Stegostoma tigrinum: one gene and its partner. The protein of the gene in region 1 interacts with the protein of each later gene in a pairwise test. Links are inferred from orthologs where the notes say so. Each region holds a gene or a part of one and is shown in the gene's direction. Other genes may lie near its edges.

Evidence for each region.
Region 2: the proteins of kifc3 (region 1) and deuterosome assembly protein 1-like interact in binary tests that used the Homo sapiens proteins (3 or more experiments, as listed by UniProt). The two-hybrid records come from large-scale screens. The link is inferred for Stegostoma tigrinum from reciprocal best matches to the Homo sapiens genes KIFC3 and DEUP1.

The regions. Positions count from the first base shown.
Region 1 is NC_081369.1:11,092,533-11,100,002, reverse strand, and holds the start of kifc3 (kinesin-like protein KIFC3), read left to right. Parts: upstream 1-4,393; 5' UTR 4,394-4,500; intron 4,501-4,929; exon of another isoform or gene 4,930-5,062; intron 5,063-7,470. UniProt on the Homo sapiens protein: Minus-end microtubule-dependent motor protein. Involved in apically targeted transport. Required for zonula adherens maintenance.
Region 2 is NC_081359.1:48,534,130-48,542,207, reverse strand, and holds the start of deuterosome assembly protein 1-like, read left to right. Parts: upstream 1-5,010; 5' UTR 5,011-5,037; intron 5,038-8,078. Other genes in the region: neutral amino acid uniporter 4-like, read right to left, coding at 4,545-4,566. UniProt on the Homo sapiens protein: Key structural component of the deuterosome, a structure that promotes de novo centriole amplification in multiciliated cells.

The DNA.
Region 1 (7,470 bases):
GCTGAAATTCTCTTGTGTGAGCTCTCAAAGGTTTAACAACGAAGGAAAGTACTTGCTTCAAAGATGGACCAGGGAAACAAGGCTCAGGGGCTGCAGTTGTAGACAAAAAAGCAGCACCTGATGATGGGAACGAGGGTCTTCAGCACCCATTGAGCAGTGTGCCAAGACAGGATTCATTGAAGATGTTGAAGTTACATGTAGATGAGTGAAGGGCATTGCAGGAGATGTTGCATCATTGGAGATACTATCATCTACATCCATCGCAATGTCCAGCCACATTCCTAAACAGGAAGGATTCACTCCCTCAAAGTCCAGCTCTTTTGTGACCACAGGCAACAGTTCCTGCAGGTGTATACCTGCTATCCAGGGAACTGTCAAAGTATTTACATTCCACACAACTCCCAGGTTCCTCAAATGTTCACTTCTCAATATCATCTCCACAGCTGCATTATGTGGTTCCCCCAGAGGTACTTCTAATGACCCTAATATGAAACTCTCAGACTGATGCTAAGCAGGGCTACAATGCCATCCATGCATTCACGAGGGCATTCTTCTAATAGACAATTAATATCTGAAAATGCTGTGATCCAAGATGGACAAGTTAAATCTGGGATACAATCATGTTTGATAGGTCACACTTTCTTTATTTTGGTTAATGTGGTGCACAGTCATTGAAATTTGGTCACATAAAACTGCAGCCTTTCTTCATCAGAAGAACACAAAAGAAACCAAGCAAAAATTAGAACGCAGCTTGAAAGATCTTAAAACACACAGCAAAACCGATTCTCATCCTGTTTCTTAACACACCTGTTATAGAGACTCAAATCCAGAGAAATTATCTCTCTATATCAAATCTTTAAGCTTGACTTAACTCATTCTCCTCAGTCTCTTCCTGTGAATTGTTAAGTAATCTTATATGAATATTCACAGAACTGAGAGCTTAGATTTCTCAGCTTTGAATAATCTGCACATTTATCAAGAAACACTGCTGGTTTACTCGTTTCACAAAATGATTTTTATACAGAGGTAACTGTGCTTTCCATGAACAGTCTTATACTCATTTTGAGGAGAAAAACTATATTTGCTTCAGGTCTCCTTCAAATAGCACTCAAAGCTTTCAATCTCTGAGTTTTCTAAGCTAAAATCAATCCTTGATTATCTTGAACCCAAAACAAGCTAATGGCCTTCAATATTTACCCATCTGTCATAAAAACAATCGATCATTATGCTCCGGGGCATCCTTGCTCTCTTGCACATATTGGATTAGATCTGACTGAGTTATTTTTTAAACCCTTCAGTAATCAACCCCATATGCCACAATTTGAAAACTGAAACTCTGAAAATGACATTAATACAAACATACAAACCTAATACCTTTTATCATAATGTTTTTTTTTCTATTCATTTTGTGGGATGTGGGCATCGCTGGCTTGCCAACGTTTATTGACCATCCCCAGTTGCCCTTGAGAAGGTGGTGGTGAGCTGCCTTCTTGGACTGCTGCAGTCCACCTGCTGTGGGTTGACCCACAATGCTGTTAGGGAGGGAATTCTAGGATTTGGACCCAGTGACACCGAAGGAACGGTGATATATTTCCAAGTCAGGATGGTGAGTGGCTTGGAGGGGAACGTGGAGGTGGTGGTGTTCCCATATATCTGCTGCCCTTGTCCAACTAGATAGAAGTGGTCGTGGATTTGGAAGGTGCTGTCTGAGGATTTTGGTGAATTTCTGTAGTGCATCTTGTAGACGGTACACACTGCTGCTACTGAGCATCAGTGGTGGAGGGAGTGAATGCTTGTGGATATGATGTCAATCAAGTGATCTGCTTTGTCATGGATGGTGTCAAGCTTTTTGAGTCTTGTTGGGGCTACACTCTTCCAGGCAAGTGGGGAGTATTCCATCACATTCCTGACTTGTGTCTTGTAGATGGTGGGCAGGCTTTGAGGAGTCAGGAGGTGAGTTACATGCTGCAGTATTCCCAGCTTTTGGCCTGCTATTGTAGCTAATCTGTCAATGTGGTGAGTCCAGTTGAGTTTCTGATCAATGGTAACCCCCAGGATGTTGATAGTGGGGGATTCAGTGATGGTAACACCATTGAATGTCAAGGGGTGATGGTTAGATTGTCTCTTATTGGTGATGGTCATAGCCTGGCAGTTCTGTGACACAAATGTCACTTGCCACTTGTCAGCCCAAGCCTGGATATTGTCCAGATCTTGTTGCATGTGAACACGGACTGCTTCAGTATAGCTGAGGAGTCACGAATGGTGCTGAACATTATGCAATCATTGGCGAACATCCCCATTTCTGACTTTCTCATGGAGGGAAGGTCATTGATGAAGCAGCTGAAGATGGTTGAGCCTAGGACACTACCTTGAGGAGAGCCTGCAGAGATGTCCTGGAGCTGAGATTATTGACCTCCTACAACCACAACCACAACCATTTCCTATGTGTCAGGTACGACTCCAACTACTGGAACGTTTGCCCGTGATACCCATTAATTCCAGTTTTGCCAGGGCTCCTTGATGCCATACTCAGTCAAATGCAGCCTTGATATCAAGGGCTGTCACTCTCACCTCACCTCTAGAATTCAGCTCTTTTGTCCATGTTGGAACCAAGGCTGTAATGAGATCAGGAGCTGAGTGACCTTAGTGTAACTCAAACTGGCCGTCACTGAGCAGGTTATTTCTGAGCAGGTATTGCTTGTTAGCACTGTTGGTGACAGCTTCCATCAGTTTACCGACAATCGAGCGGAGACTGATGGGGTGGTAATTGGCCGGGTTGGATTTGTCTCTGCCTGGATGATCAGAGGGCGCACTCTGGAATTCGCCAGACAGAACTGTGATTGTTTGCTGTGTACTAAACAACTTAGCTCATTTCTGAGATAGTAAGATCTGCTGATGCTGGAGTCAAAGATAACACAGTGTGGAGCTGGGAGAACACAGCAGGCCACGCAGCATCAGAGGAGCAGGAAAGCTGACGTTTCGGGTCGGGACCCTTCTTCAGAGGAAGATTTCTGAAGAAGGGTCCCAACCTAAAACATCAGTTTTCCTGCTTCTCTGATGCTGCCTGGCCTGCTGTGTTCTCCCAGCTCCACACTGTGTTACCTCTTAGCTCATTTCTGTTGTGAGAATGGAGAAGAGAGAACAATGGGCCATCCAACTGCCTCCTGAGACGAGAAAGAAAAGGAATCTGATCGAGCTTTCGCATGGCCCAATGCTGGTAATGGCTAATTATGGCATACAAGCATTTGTGCCTTCAAGAGAATGCTTGTTTCATACCTCTAAAACATTAAGATACTTTATTTGCATTAATTGTAAGTTAATTTGTTTCCTTGGCATCAATATTTCCTGGTGAGTTACCTGACCAGAGCATCAGCACAGAATTTGCAGGATTACAGGGGAATTGAGCTTTTACGAGTCGCCCAAGCCTCGATTTTCTCATTGACACCATTGTCAGTAGTGCTCTTTTTAAAGTCAGTCACTCCTAAGTTGGTACTGATTGTGGAACTGGAAATGGGGGAACAGAAGTAAATTGCTAATGGCATACAGTTACAACTTCAGGTTTAAAATCTATGGATTCTACAATGATTGAGGTAGTAGCTGGGTCTGGCTGAACTAAGGTTGGGTAGATGCTATGCATCTTGGTTTCATTGAAAATCCAGCAAGCAGGGAGACAGTGTTTACAATGATATACATAAATGTTGGGAAGAACAAAAGAAGAAAGTGCCAGTTTATTTACCCTCTCCAGGCTTTGGGCTATGTCCACTGTGCTTAGTCCTGTTCCAGTAAATGTGTCTTTCTCTGAACTTCAGCATGTGGCTTACAGTTTATCCTTATTCCAGCCCCATAACTTCTGCAGCCGTACCCTGCTTTGTTTATCCAATATTCTTCTCCCTGCCCTAATGCAATACATTATTTTCCAAGCCTTTGCGTTGGCCTTGTGCCTGGATTGTTGCCCTTCCAGTTGCAGAATTAGATGGATTCCTGTTAAACAAAGGAGTAACAAATTATTGGGGATAGGGGGGAATGTGGAGTAATCAGATTTGCCAAACTTTGGGGCGAGCTCGAAGCGCAGAATGGCCTAGTCCTGCTCCTCGTTTGTATGTTTGCACGCATCAGTGTTTACTATTTTAGTACTTTTTCTAATCTCCGCTTGTATTCTTCCTGGGCCAACATTATTACCTTTGAATTTCCCCAATACCTACATCATTAATTTTCCCTTTGTCCTATTACTATGTGTTATGACTGTCCCTATCTTTTCCATGTTTAATTTCGAATTCCTGAAACTTTTCCCGTTTTATCAGCGACCCGCCTACTCGCTGAATGCGTCGCCATTGATTGGTCGGTGCCGGGCAGGAGCCTGAGCCTGATTGGTTGAGTCTAGCTGACAGATTCTGCGGCAGTCCTGTTCGGCTCGGCTCGGCTCTGGGACCCGGGGAGCAGCGGTGGCCGTTGCGGGAGGGTCGCTTCCAGCCTGAGCTAGGCTCGGGCGCGGTGTGCTTGGTGAGTATAATGCTAATTTCCTGAACAGGGAGAAGTGCATTATCATCCTCACATCGGATAAGGGGCGGTGCAGGCTACAAGACACCTATTTGATGGAATGTGGTCGGTAGGGATCTACCCCTGTCTGCAGCGTCGTTGGGGGGGGGGCGTTATACCTAGGCTGAGCTTCAGCGGCAGCCGGGGTGGACTGGGCGTTTTGGGTCACAGCGGGGGTGCCTCTCCTGTCTGATAGGAGACCAGAGGGAGAGTGCTGTTTGTTTTTAAAGCCCTGCAGTGGTCTCCAGGTGCCAAACATGAAAACACGGCAGCGGAGAAAGCAGCTGCGTTAGCCAAAGACGGGGGTGGGTGGGAGAAAATCATTTGTCAACACAGATTGAATCAGGAGCACCTGACCAGAGAGAGCGAGAGAGAGAGCCAGGTCATTCTCACCAGAAGGACGTTGTTGCTTTCAGCAGCACGACGTTATAACACACAAGTCACCGGTTTCCCCCTCTTGCATTCTCTCAGGGCGAGAGCCTTAACCATCGGCCTGGCGACTCCGTTCAGCCGGCTGGTTCCGTTCTGTCCGAGGTGCGGATTTAACCCATGAGTAGCCCAGCTGCGAGCTAACCCTGCATTGCAGCTCTGTGGACTAACACCAGCTGGTAGGCATTAGTCTGAATGAATTCTGTTTCTGCAATTTTAGTTTATTAAGCTTGCGTTTTGATGTTTTTTTAATTACTAAGTGAAGGTATTTTCCATGGCTCGAATTCTTTCTGTAGATTGTAAGTAAGGTTAGGAGATGGTGTTTTCGCTCAGGCTACTGTACAGGCTGTTTCCCTGGCAACAGCATCCTCCTAGTGTCATTATGTGCACCTGTACAATTCCACTGCAATGCACAATGTGACCCTTCCAGCATTCCAATGGGCCTCCTTGAATTTGAGCCTGGAATGTGGGGTCTAGTGCATGTACTATTAACTAGCCCTTGAATTTGCTACTTTTCTTTGTCTGTGGTGGAAAATCATGGCAGATCCCTCTCCTGCATTTCTGGCATATCAAAGGTAATTGATCAAATGGTAGTAAATAGTATTGAGGTACAGATCAGCTATGATCTTATTCAAATGAGAAATAGGCAGAATGGGCTTGATATTTATATATTTATGTGAATTAAACTTTTTTGGTCATCTTATTGCTGCTGCATGAAGATATTTCTTGTCACAATTAAACCTGTTACACAGAGTAATGAGTTTAAAGGTTTTGATCAGTTTATTATTTGGTTTTGGGGTTGGCTAGATTGAGCAGAAAAAGTGCTGTGCCTGCTCTTGACCTTGTCATGTTATGTTGGTTAGTGTGGGAGGTACTGTTTCACCTCTGGGGCGATGGTATCAGTATCCTGGGACTGTGGGATGAGACGGTGTTTGCTAAGGAAGCCTTTCAGGTGTAGCAGGTATCTGGGAGTCTTCCTGGGGCAACCAGGTATTCAGCAACCACGGGGTTACGTACAAACCAACTCCACACCACCTCCCTTCTAGCATTGATTGTTACCTTTGTACTGAGGGAAATATGCAGTGGGGACAAATGGGACAATGTTGGTCAATTTCTATTCAACACTCCCTTTGCCAAAACAGTTGTGTTAGCTAGTTTCAGAGATAACCGGGTACATCCAAAATCATCATGCCCCCTAACCTGACTGCATTTAAATACGTGTAGCTGTGTTCATTGCTCAGCTGAATTGCCCTTTTATTTCTCCTCAACTTCAGTTGTGCCTAGTTCCACAAAGTTCTTCCTCTCTTCATCTTCACTGTATTGAAACTAAAAACCATCATGCACAGCTAGTGCCTCCTTTTACCAGGAGTTCAAAATGGTGAAGCCTTTACCCTGTGTATGTTGTGCTGAGAAACCCACTCATCTCTGACTATGTAACTGGGTGGAGGCATTTCATCTCTCAGAAATGAGGGTACCATCCTGGCCAAAGTTTGGGTTTGGGTGATTTCCTGATTTCTTGTCTCATGGGTCAAATTCTTTTTTCCTCCTTTTAAACAGTTAAAATGCTGCTGACGCTTGTGATGTAATAACATTCTGTGGTTTGGCAAAGGGAAGAGTTCCATGCGGTGATAGATCAAATCTAAGTTATAGTGCTCACTTTACAGCCCTGAGTTGCTGGAATATGTTTTAGCACATGTGGAAATATGACATCCCAGTGGTACATGTGCTACAGTTGATCCTAGAGCAGTCTCCTGACCTGGTTGACAACACCTGTGTAGTTTATAACTACATTCAATAAAGCTTCACTCTCTGTCCTCTGTTTTACCCTATTCAGCCTGATCATCTCCAACTGAGACTGGAAAAGCCCCAAATTTCTTCAGCCTGTTCTTGTTGGTATTGCTTCACTGGGGTAATGCTGCAGGCACCTCGGGCACAGAGTGATTGATTTATAAAGCAGGAATTATGAGTTGTTCTCAGGTGCAGTTGGTTGGCAGTAGCAACACTGAAACGTTTTGACTCATTAAAGGGTAACACATTTGCTGTTGGTGTGCATGCTACAAAATGTCAGTAAGGAGCTGGAGTCCGTGGTATTTATACCATAAGCATTCATTGCAGAGAGAGAGGCAGACATTTGGTTTACGTATGGCTTGAAGATGCTATGCTGGGTAAGATGACAAAGCAGAATAACTGCAGTATTGTTGATGTTACTTCCCAGGCTTGTGTTCAAACCTGCCAAGCAGGGTCTAGGCCCAAAACGTCGGCTTTCTTGCTCCTCTGCTGCTTGGCCTGCTGTGTTCATCCAGCTCTACACCTTGTCACTTCCGATTCTCCAGCATCTGCAGTTCCCACTACCTCTGAAACAGGGAGCAATCTGGTTGCCAGTACAGTGATTGTTTAAATTGACTGAACGGAAGTTGCTGCGTTATGTTCAAAATCCTGCACTGGCCACTTGTACCATGTGCTGCGTGCACTTGATTCTGGTTTCTCGGGATTGCTTGCTGGAAT
Region 2 (8,078 bases), on another chromosome or scaffold:
ATCGTGTTCAGTTTTGTCACCTTGCCTCAGGAAGGATGTTATTAAACTGGAAAAAGAGTGCAGAAGAAACATACAGGGATTTTGCCAGGACTCAAGGGGCTGAGTTACAGGGAGAGGTTGGACAAGCTAGGACTTCTTTCTTTCGAGCTTAGGGGGCTGAGGGGGGGGGATCTTACAGAATTGTATAAGATTATGAGAAGCACAATAGGTTGAACGCACTCAGTCTTTTTCCCAAGGCTGAGGAATTCAGGACCAGAGGGCATCAGTTTAACATAAGAGGGGAAAGAATACATGAGAACCTGAGGGGCAACTTTTTTTGTTTTACACAGAGGGTGGTACACTTATGGAATGAGCTGCCAGATGTGGTACAGGTGGCTACATTAACAATACTGAAAAGGCATTTGGACGAACACATGGATAGGAAAGGTTTCGGAGGATGTGGGCCAAGTGCAGGAAAATGGGGTTAGCATGGATGGACATTTTGGTTGGCATGGACCAGTTTGAGCCAAAGGGCCTGTCTCCATGCTGTAGGACTCTATAGTAATACACAACCTCTACAAGGCATGTCAGACCATTGGCATGGATACTATCACATGTGGAAACACCACCCAGCACATACAGAGCAGATACTCATATGACTTGGCCAATGTTATTGACTTACATGCTGCAGGCAAGGATGCCCGATTGGCGAGACCATGCAGATGCTACAAAAAAAAAATGGGTGAATGGACACCGCACAACAATTGTCAGACAGGAATGTTCCCTCCTAGTTGGGGAACACTTCAACAGTCAAGGTCATTCAGCTTCCGTTCTTCAGGTAAGTGTCCACAAAGGCACCCTTCGAGATACACAGGCCTCCAGGCTGAAAAGTAACCTTCCACCACCATTTTCGGTCTTCTACCTCGAGCCACTTCTGTATCCAAATGGCTGGTTCTGCTCATATTCCATACAATGTAACCTTGCTAACCAGGCTACCATAAAGGAACTTTGTCAAACTTCGTACTGAAGACCACCACTCTACCCTATTCAATCCTCTTCATTAAATTAAAGTTTTTTGAAGAAGTAAAGTTCGTGAGACACAGTTTCCCACACACAAAACTACGTTGACTATCCCTAATCAGTCCTTGCCTTTCCATATACAGGAACATGAAAATCCTGTTCCTCAGGAGTCCTTCCAACAACTTGCCCAGCATCACATTACATTTTGAATTGAATATTTTACAAAATAGCTAAGACAAATTGTTTAAGGCCCAAAACGTCAGCTTTTGTGCTCCTAAGATGCTGCTTGACCTGCTGTGTTCATCCAGCTCCACACTTTATCTCAGATTCTCCAGCATCTGCAGTTACCATTATCTCTGAAGACAAATTGTTTGACCATATATCTTCACAAAAACACTTATTTAAGACACATCTGATTGTCTTATCTGACCACAGCCACATAAGACAAGAATATAGACTGACCAAGGGAGTATTCGTTCATTGCTGGTGTCAAATTTTGCTTTTAATACATGAATGAAACGTTCTACATTCAACAAGTTAACTGCAAGAGAGTCAGAGTTATACAGCATGGAAGCAGAGCCTTCAGTCCAACTCATCCATGCCAACCAGACATTGTTGTTAAACTTTGCTTCTAATATATGAACAAAATGTTCTGCATTCACCAAATTATCTCAGTTATACAACATGGAAAGAAAGTGTTCGGTCCAACTCGTCTATGCCAACCAGATATCTTAAACTGACCGAGTCCCATTTGTCAGCATTTTGCCCGTATCCCTCAAAACCCTTCTATTCATGTACCCAGATGCCTTTAACATACTAGATACATTCATTCATTCACAGTAAGTGTCAGGCACAGTGCAAGTAATTAAAAAACTAGTCTCTAACCAAAAAAATGAAACTTTCCCACGTCTAAATATTGTTAGTTTCTTTATAAACAACAACATTTTCATGGGATGTTACTTCTCTCCTCATAATCACAGCAACTGTGCGTTTACTTGCTAATGAACTGAGCCGATCGGCTGATTTTTGATGCATTAACCATGAGTTATGTAGTGATATATCATAACGGGAAGGCAGCAGTCATCATTCCCCGCAGCATCTCAGGAGCACAAAAGCTGGCATTTCGGGCCTAGACCCATCAGAGAGGGGGATGGGGTGAGGGTTCTGGAATAAATAGGGAGAGAGGGGGAGGCGGACCGAAGATGGAGAGAAAAGAAGATACGTGGAGAGGAGAGTATAGGTGGGGAGATAGGGAGGGGATAGGTCAATCCAGGGAAGACGGACAGGTCAAGGAGGTGGGATGAGGTTAGTAGGTAGGAGATGGAGGTGCGGCTTGGAGTGGGAGGAAGGGATGGGTGAGAGGAAGAACAGGTTAGGGAGGCAGAGACAGGTTGGACTGGTTTTGGGATGCAGTGGGGGGAGGGGACGAACTGGGCTGGTTTTGGGATGCAGTGGGGAAGGGGAGATTTTGAAGCTGGTGAAGTCCACATTGATACCATTGGGCTGCAGGGTTCCCAAGCGGAATATGAGTTGCTGTTCCTGCAACCTTCGGGTGGCATCATTGTGGCACTGCAGGAGGCCCATGATGGACATGTCATCTAAAAAATGGGAGGGGGGAGTGGAAATGGTTTGCGACTGGGAGGTGCAGTTGTTTATTGCGAACCGAGCAGAGGTGTTCTGCAAAGCGGTCCCCAAGCCTCCGCTTGGTTTCCCCAATGTAGAGGAAGCCACACCGGGTACAGTGGATGCAGTATACCACATTGGCAGATATGCAGGTGAACCTCTGCTTAATGTGGAAAGTCATCTTGGGGCCTGGGAATTCCTCCAACTTCCTACAGACTAAGGGGGTGGCCATGGGCACCCGCATGGGCCCCAGCTATGCCTGCCTCTTTGCAGGTTACGTGGAACAGTCCCTCTTCCGAACCTACACAGGCACCAAACCCCACCTCTTCCTCCGCTACATTGATGACTGTATCGGCGCCACCTCTTGCTCCCCAGAAGAGCTTGAACAGTTCATCCACTTCACCAACACCTTCCACCCCAACCTTCGGTTCACCTGGCCATCTCCAGCACATCCCTCACCTTCCTGGATCTCTCAGTCTCCATCTCAGGCAACCAGCTTGTAACTGATGTCCATTTCAAGCCCACCGACTCCCACAGCTACCCAGAATACACCTCCTCCCACCCACCCTCCTGCAAAAATTCCATCCCCCATTCCCAATTCCTCCGCCTCCGCCGCATCTGCTCCCACGATGAGGCATTCCACTCCCGCACATCCCAGATGTCCAAGTTCTTCAAGGACCGCAACTTTCCCCCCACAGTGATCGAGAACGCCCTTGACCGCGTCTCCCGCAACACATCCCTCACACCCCACCCCTGCCACAACCGCCCAAAGAGGATCTCCCTCGTTCTCTCACACCACCCCACCAACCTCCAGATACAACGCATCATCCTCTGACACTTGCGCCATCTACAATCCGACCCCACCACCCAAGACATTTTTCCATCCCCACCCCTGTCTGCTTTCCGGAGAGACCACTCGCTCCGTGACTCCCTTGTTCGCTCCACACTGCCCTCCAACCCCACCACACCCGGCACCTTCCCCTGCAACCACAGGAAATGCTACACTTGTCCCCACACCTCCTCCCTCACCGCTATCCCAGGCTCCAAGATGACTTTCCACATTAAGCAGAGGTTCACTTGCACATCTGCCAATGTGGTATACTGCATCCACTGTACCTGGTGTGGCTTCCTCTACATTGGGGAAACTAAGCGGAGGCTTGGAGACCGCTTTGCAGAACACCTCCACTCGGTTCGCAATAAACAACTGCACCTCCCAGTCGCAAACCATTTCCACTCCCCCTCCCATTCTTTAGATGACATGTCCATCATGGGCCTCCTGCAGTGCCACAATGATGCCACCCGAAGGTTGCAGGAACAGCAACTCATATTCCGCTTGGGAACCCTGCAGCCCAATGGTATCAATGTGGACTTCACCAGCTTCAAAATCTCCCCTTCCCCCACCGCATCCCAAAACCAGCCCAGTTCATCCCTTCCCCCCCAATGCACCACACAACAAGCCCAGCTCTTGCCCTCCACCCACTACATCCCAAAACCAGTCCAACCTGTCTCTGCCTCCCTAACCTGTTCTTCCTCTCACCTATCCCTTCCTCCCACTCCAAGCCGCACCTCCATCTCCTACTTACTAACCTCATCCCACCTCCTTGACCTGTCCGTCTTCCCTGGACTAACCTATCCCCTCCCTACCTCCCCACCTATCTTCTTTTCTCTCCATCTTCGGTCCGCCTCCCCCCCCGCTATTTATTCCAGAACCTTCACCCCATCCCCCTCTCTGATGAAGGGTCTAGGCCCGAAACGTCAACTTTTGTGCTCCTGAGTGCTGCTGGGCCTGCTGTGTTCATCCAGCCTCACATTTCATTATCTTGGATTCTCCAGCATCTGCAGTTCCCATTATCACAGCCATCATTCCCCACCCAGTCCCATGGCCTCAGTTCCAGCCCCCGTAATTCCGATTGCCCAATTACCTATTTCCTCCCCGTGCTCCATGTCAATTGCTGCGCCACGTCACACGCCGCCTCCTCCTACAACGGATTTCCTTGATTCAAACCAATTCGAAGCAACAAAAAAGAAAATCAAATATAAATTTTGACAGGCCGCTGCTCGAATTAAACGTGATTCTGATGTTTTATCCTCCCACTTCGCAGGAAACATTAAGCCCTTGGAAGAGGCAAATTAAAAAACTACAAGTCCACAGAGATAGCGTCGATCTTCCCCGGCGTTAGTTTCTCGGGAATGCCCACCCTGTCAACGGCCAGTTTTAACTGCAGCATGAGTCGGTCATTGGTGAAACACAGATACCAACACAGTCACACCATGAGAACTCAGACCCCAGCACGTCCCCAAACCACAGATGTCATAACCAAGAGAGAGCGCATGTGCAATCTCCTCCCCTCCCTTCCGAGCCCAGACTGCGTGCGCGCCGAGCCTGCCTCAAGCAAAATGTGCGCTCTTTAGAAAGTAAGTGTAAACTCTCTTGACTGCCTGCCCAGGAAATATTTAAATTCAGTATTTTCTTTCTGGCAGACTGGGCCCATGCATTTTCCACACAGATTTTCTTCCCTTCGTTTTAATTTCCTGATTCACTTGTCTGGCCACTGTTATTTGATATTCCAATTAATTTAGTTATTTTACACCAGACCTTTGGAATGTGTTTGCGGCAGTTTTATGGCTTTAATTGCCCGATAAATATCGGAGAAGAATTCGTTCATTCAGATCATCAAGTCAGCTCTGCCATTCGATTAAGGCCAATATGTTTCTCAATTATATTCTCTTGCCTTCCCCCTGTAACCTTTGATCCCCTTCCTAATCAAAAACCTATCTTTGTCTTAAATACACTCAATGACTTGGTTATCACAGCATTCTGCAGCAACCAATTCCACAGATTCACCACTTCTATCTGAAGAAATTCCTCCTCAACTCAGTTCTCAAGGGTCCTCCCTTCACTTTTAAGCTGCACCCTCAGTTCCCTGTCTCCTCTACTGGTGGAAACGTCATCTCTGCATCCACTCTATGCAGGCCTGTCAGTATTCTGTAAGTTTCAATGAGATCTCTTCCTCATCCTGGATGAGCAGCATGGACAAAATGGGCTGAAGTGCCGTAGACATCTACGACTCAATAACTCAACCGAGTACAGAACCACAATCCTTAACTGCTCCATATATGACAATCCTTCATGCCCAGGATCATCATTGTTCTCAGGGTCACCGGACCTGAAACATTAACTCATTTTTTTTCATCTGCCAGACCTGCTGAGCTTTTCCAGCAACTTCTATTTTTGTTCCTGATTTACAGCATCCACAGTTCTTTCAGTTTTGTTCAGGTCATGGGTGACACGGTGGCTCAGTGGTTAGCAATGCAGCCTCACAGCGCCAGGGACCCGGGTTCGATTCCTGCCTCCCGTCTGTGTGGAGTTTGCACGTTCTCCCCATGTCTGCGTGGGCTTCCTCCAGGTGCTCAGGTCTCCACCCACAGTCCAAAGATGTGCAGGTTAGGTGGATTGGCCATGCTAAATTGCCCATAGTGTTCAGGGGTGTGTGGGTTATAGGGGCATGGTTCTGGGTAGGATGTTTCAAGGAGCGGTGTGTACTCGTTGGGCCAAAGAGCCTGTTTCCACACTGTAGGGAATCTAATCTAGTATTTAACTCACTATTACATCTCTGCTAGGCATGCCCACCTTGAAGAAGTTTTGCTCCTCTTTCCAACGGGATTTCCATTTCCATCTTCTTGCCCACCGACATTAATTGTCACTCGCAGTGTTTAACCAAGTATTTGCTAAAACTCGTTTCCACAGCCATATCACATTCCTCAGTGACTGCCTCAGGCTTAACTCACCCCTTGTGGATTCTAACTGAATTTTCATCCCTCATGTTTTGAATTCTCCCAGAATCACAGTTATCTCCATGATGTTCAATGTTCCACGGACAATTACTCTTGCCACATCCTGAGATCCACTCTCTCTGCCATGTGGCGTCACATGCTCAGACTCAATATTTCTCTCCAATAGCGTCACAACATGCTGGCTCAGAGCTGCACCACTCTACAGTTTCATTTCATCCTCCAGCTCATTCGCCGTGCTAACATGAAACATTTTCTTTTCCTTTCAGGCATCAAGGTCCACAAGATGCAACTTCTCAAAGCTACCCATGGCTCTCTGGAACCTTCCTCTCCCTTCCTCCCCTCCGATTCCATTCCCTCTTCCAAGTCCACCTCCTGTCAGCTATTCACCATCCCTCTTAACCTTCTGCTCTCTGATGGTGAATGTTCTGTACTCAGCAACAGCCTCAGCCTTATTCCTCTGCGTCCCTACCTGAACAAATTTCAGATATGACATAATGCCGAACTGTTCTTTCGCTGTCTTCAGCTCCGTGCCCATTTCTTCAGGCAACAGTTCAAAAACACAAGAATTTTTTTTAAGTTGTGAGGAAGGATCACTGGACCCAAAATGTTAACTCCTAATTTTTTCTTCGCAGATGCTGCCAGATCTGCTGAGCTTTTCATTCAACTTCTGTTTTTGTTCATTCTTGTAAGCCTCCTCTGACCCCCTCCAACATCAGCACATCTTTCCTTAGAGACAGGACCTGTCCTTCTGTCTATCTTTGTGTCATTAGCAAACTTAACACCAATTCCTGCAGCTCCTTTGTTCAGATCAGCAATGATTAATTTGAATAGCTGCGGTCCTGACACTGAATCCTGTGGAACTGCACTAGTCACCAGCTGCTACCCTGAAAAAGACAACTTTAAACTCAGCCTTCTGCCAGTTAGCCAATCCTCAATCCATGCCAGTACCTCATCCCACACACAATAGCCTCTCATGTTATTTATCAGCCATCTGTGTAACACATTGTCCAAAATCATCTGGAAATTCAAAAACAGATTATGTGTACTGGCTCCCCTTCATCTATCTTGTCATTGCCTGTAGGATTGAGCGAAAATCCTTATCATTTAAAATACCGGACTAAAACCCTGGGCTTTAAAAATTAAATAAAAAGGCAGCTAGGCTATGCTCTGAGCAAATACACAGTAACAGAGACAGCTGCCTGGAACTATTGTTCAATTACAAAATCTAATTCACACCTCAACCCTAAAAGAATAATTCACTAGACCTAAGAAACCAACTTAATCCAGACATCACGGAGCCTTTCCAGATACCAAGACATCCAATTTCAATTAAGAAGCAGGAAAATTGATGTTCCGGGTCAGGACCCTTCTTCACAATAAACCCATTTCTGAAGAAGAGTCCCATCAACTTTCCTGCTCCTCTGATGCTGCCTGGCCTGCTGTGTTCCTCCAGCTCCACACTGCTGTCTCTGACTCCATCATCTACAGTTCATGCTGTTTCCAACTTCAATTAATATTCATTTACAGAAATACCAGACATTCCATCTATTCAAAATACATTTACACTTACTCTAAACTACCAAGAAGCCATTTCACGTCAAAAGTGGGGCAACAGTAGTACAATACAACTGGGAAGCACAGATTTGGCACAAAGGTAAGAG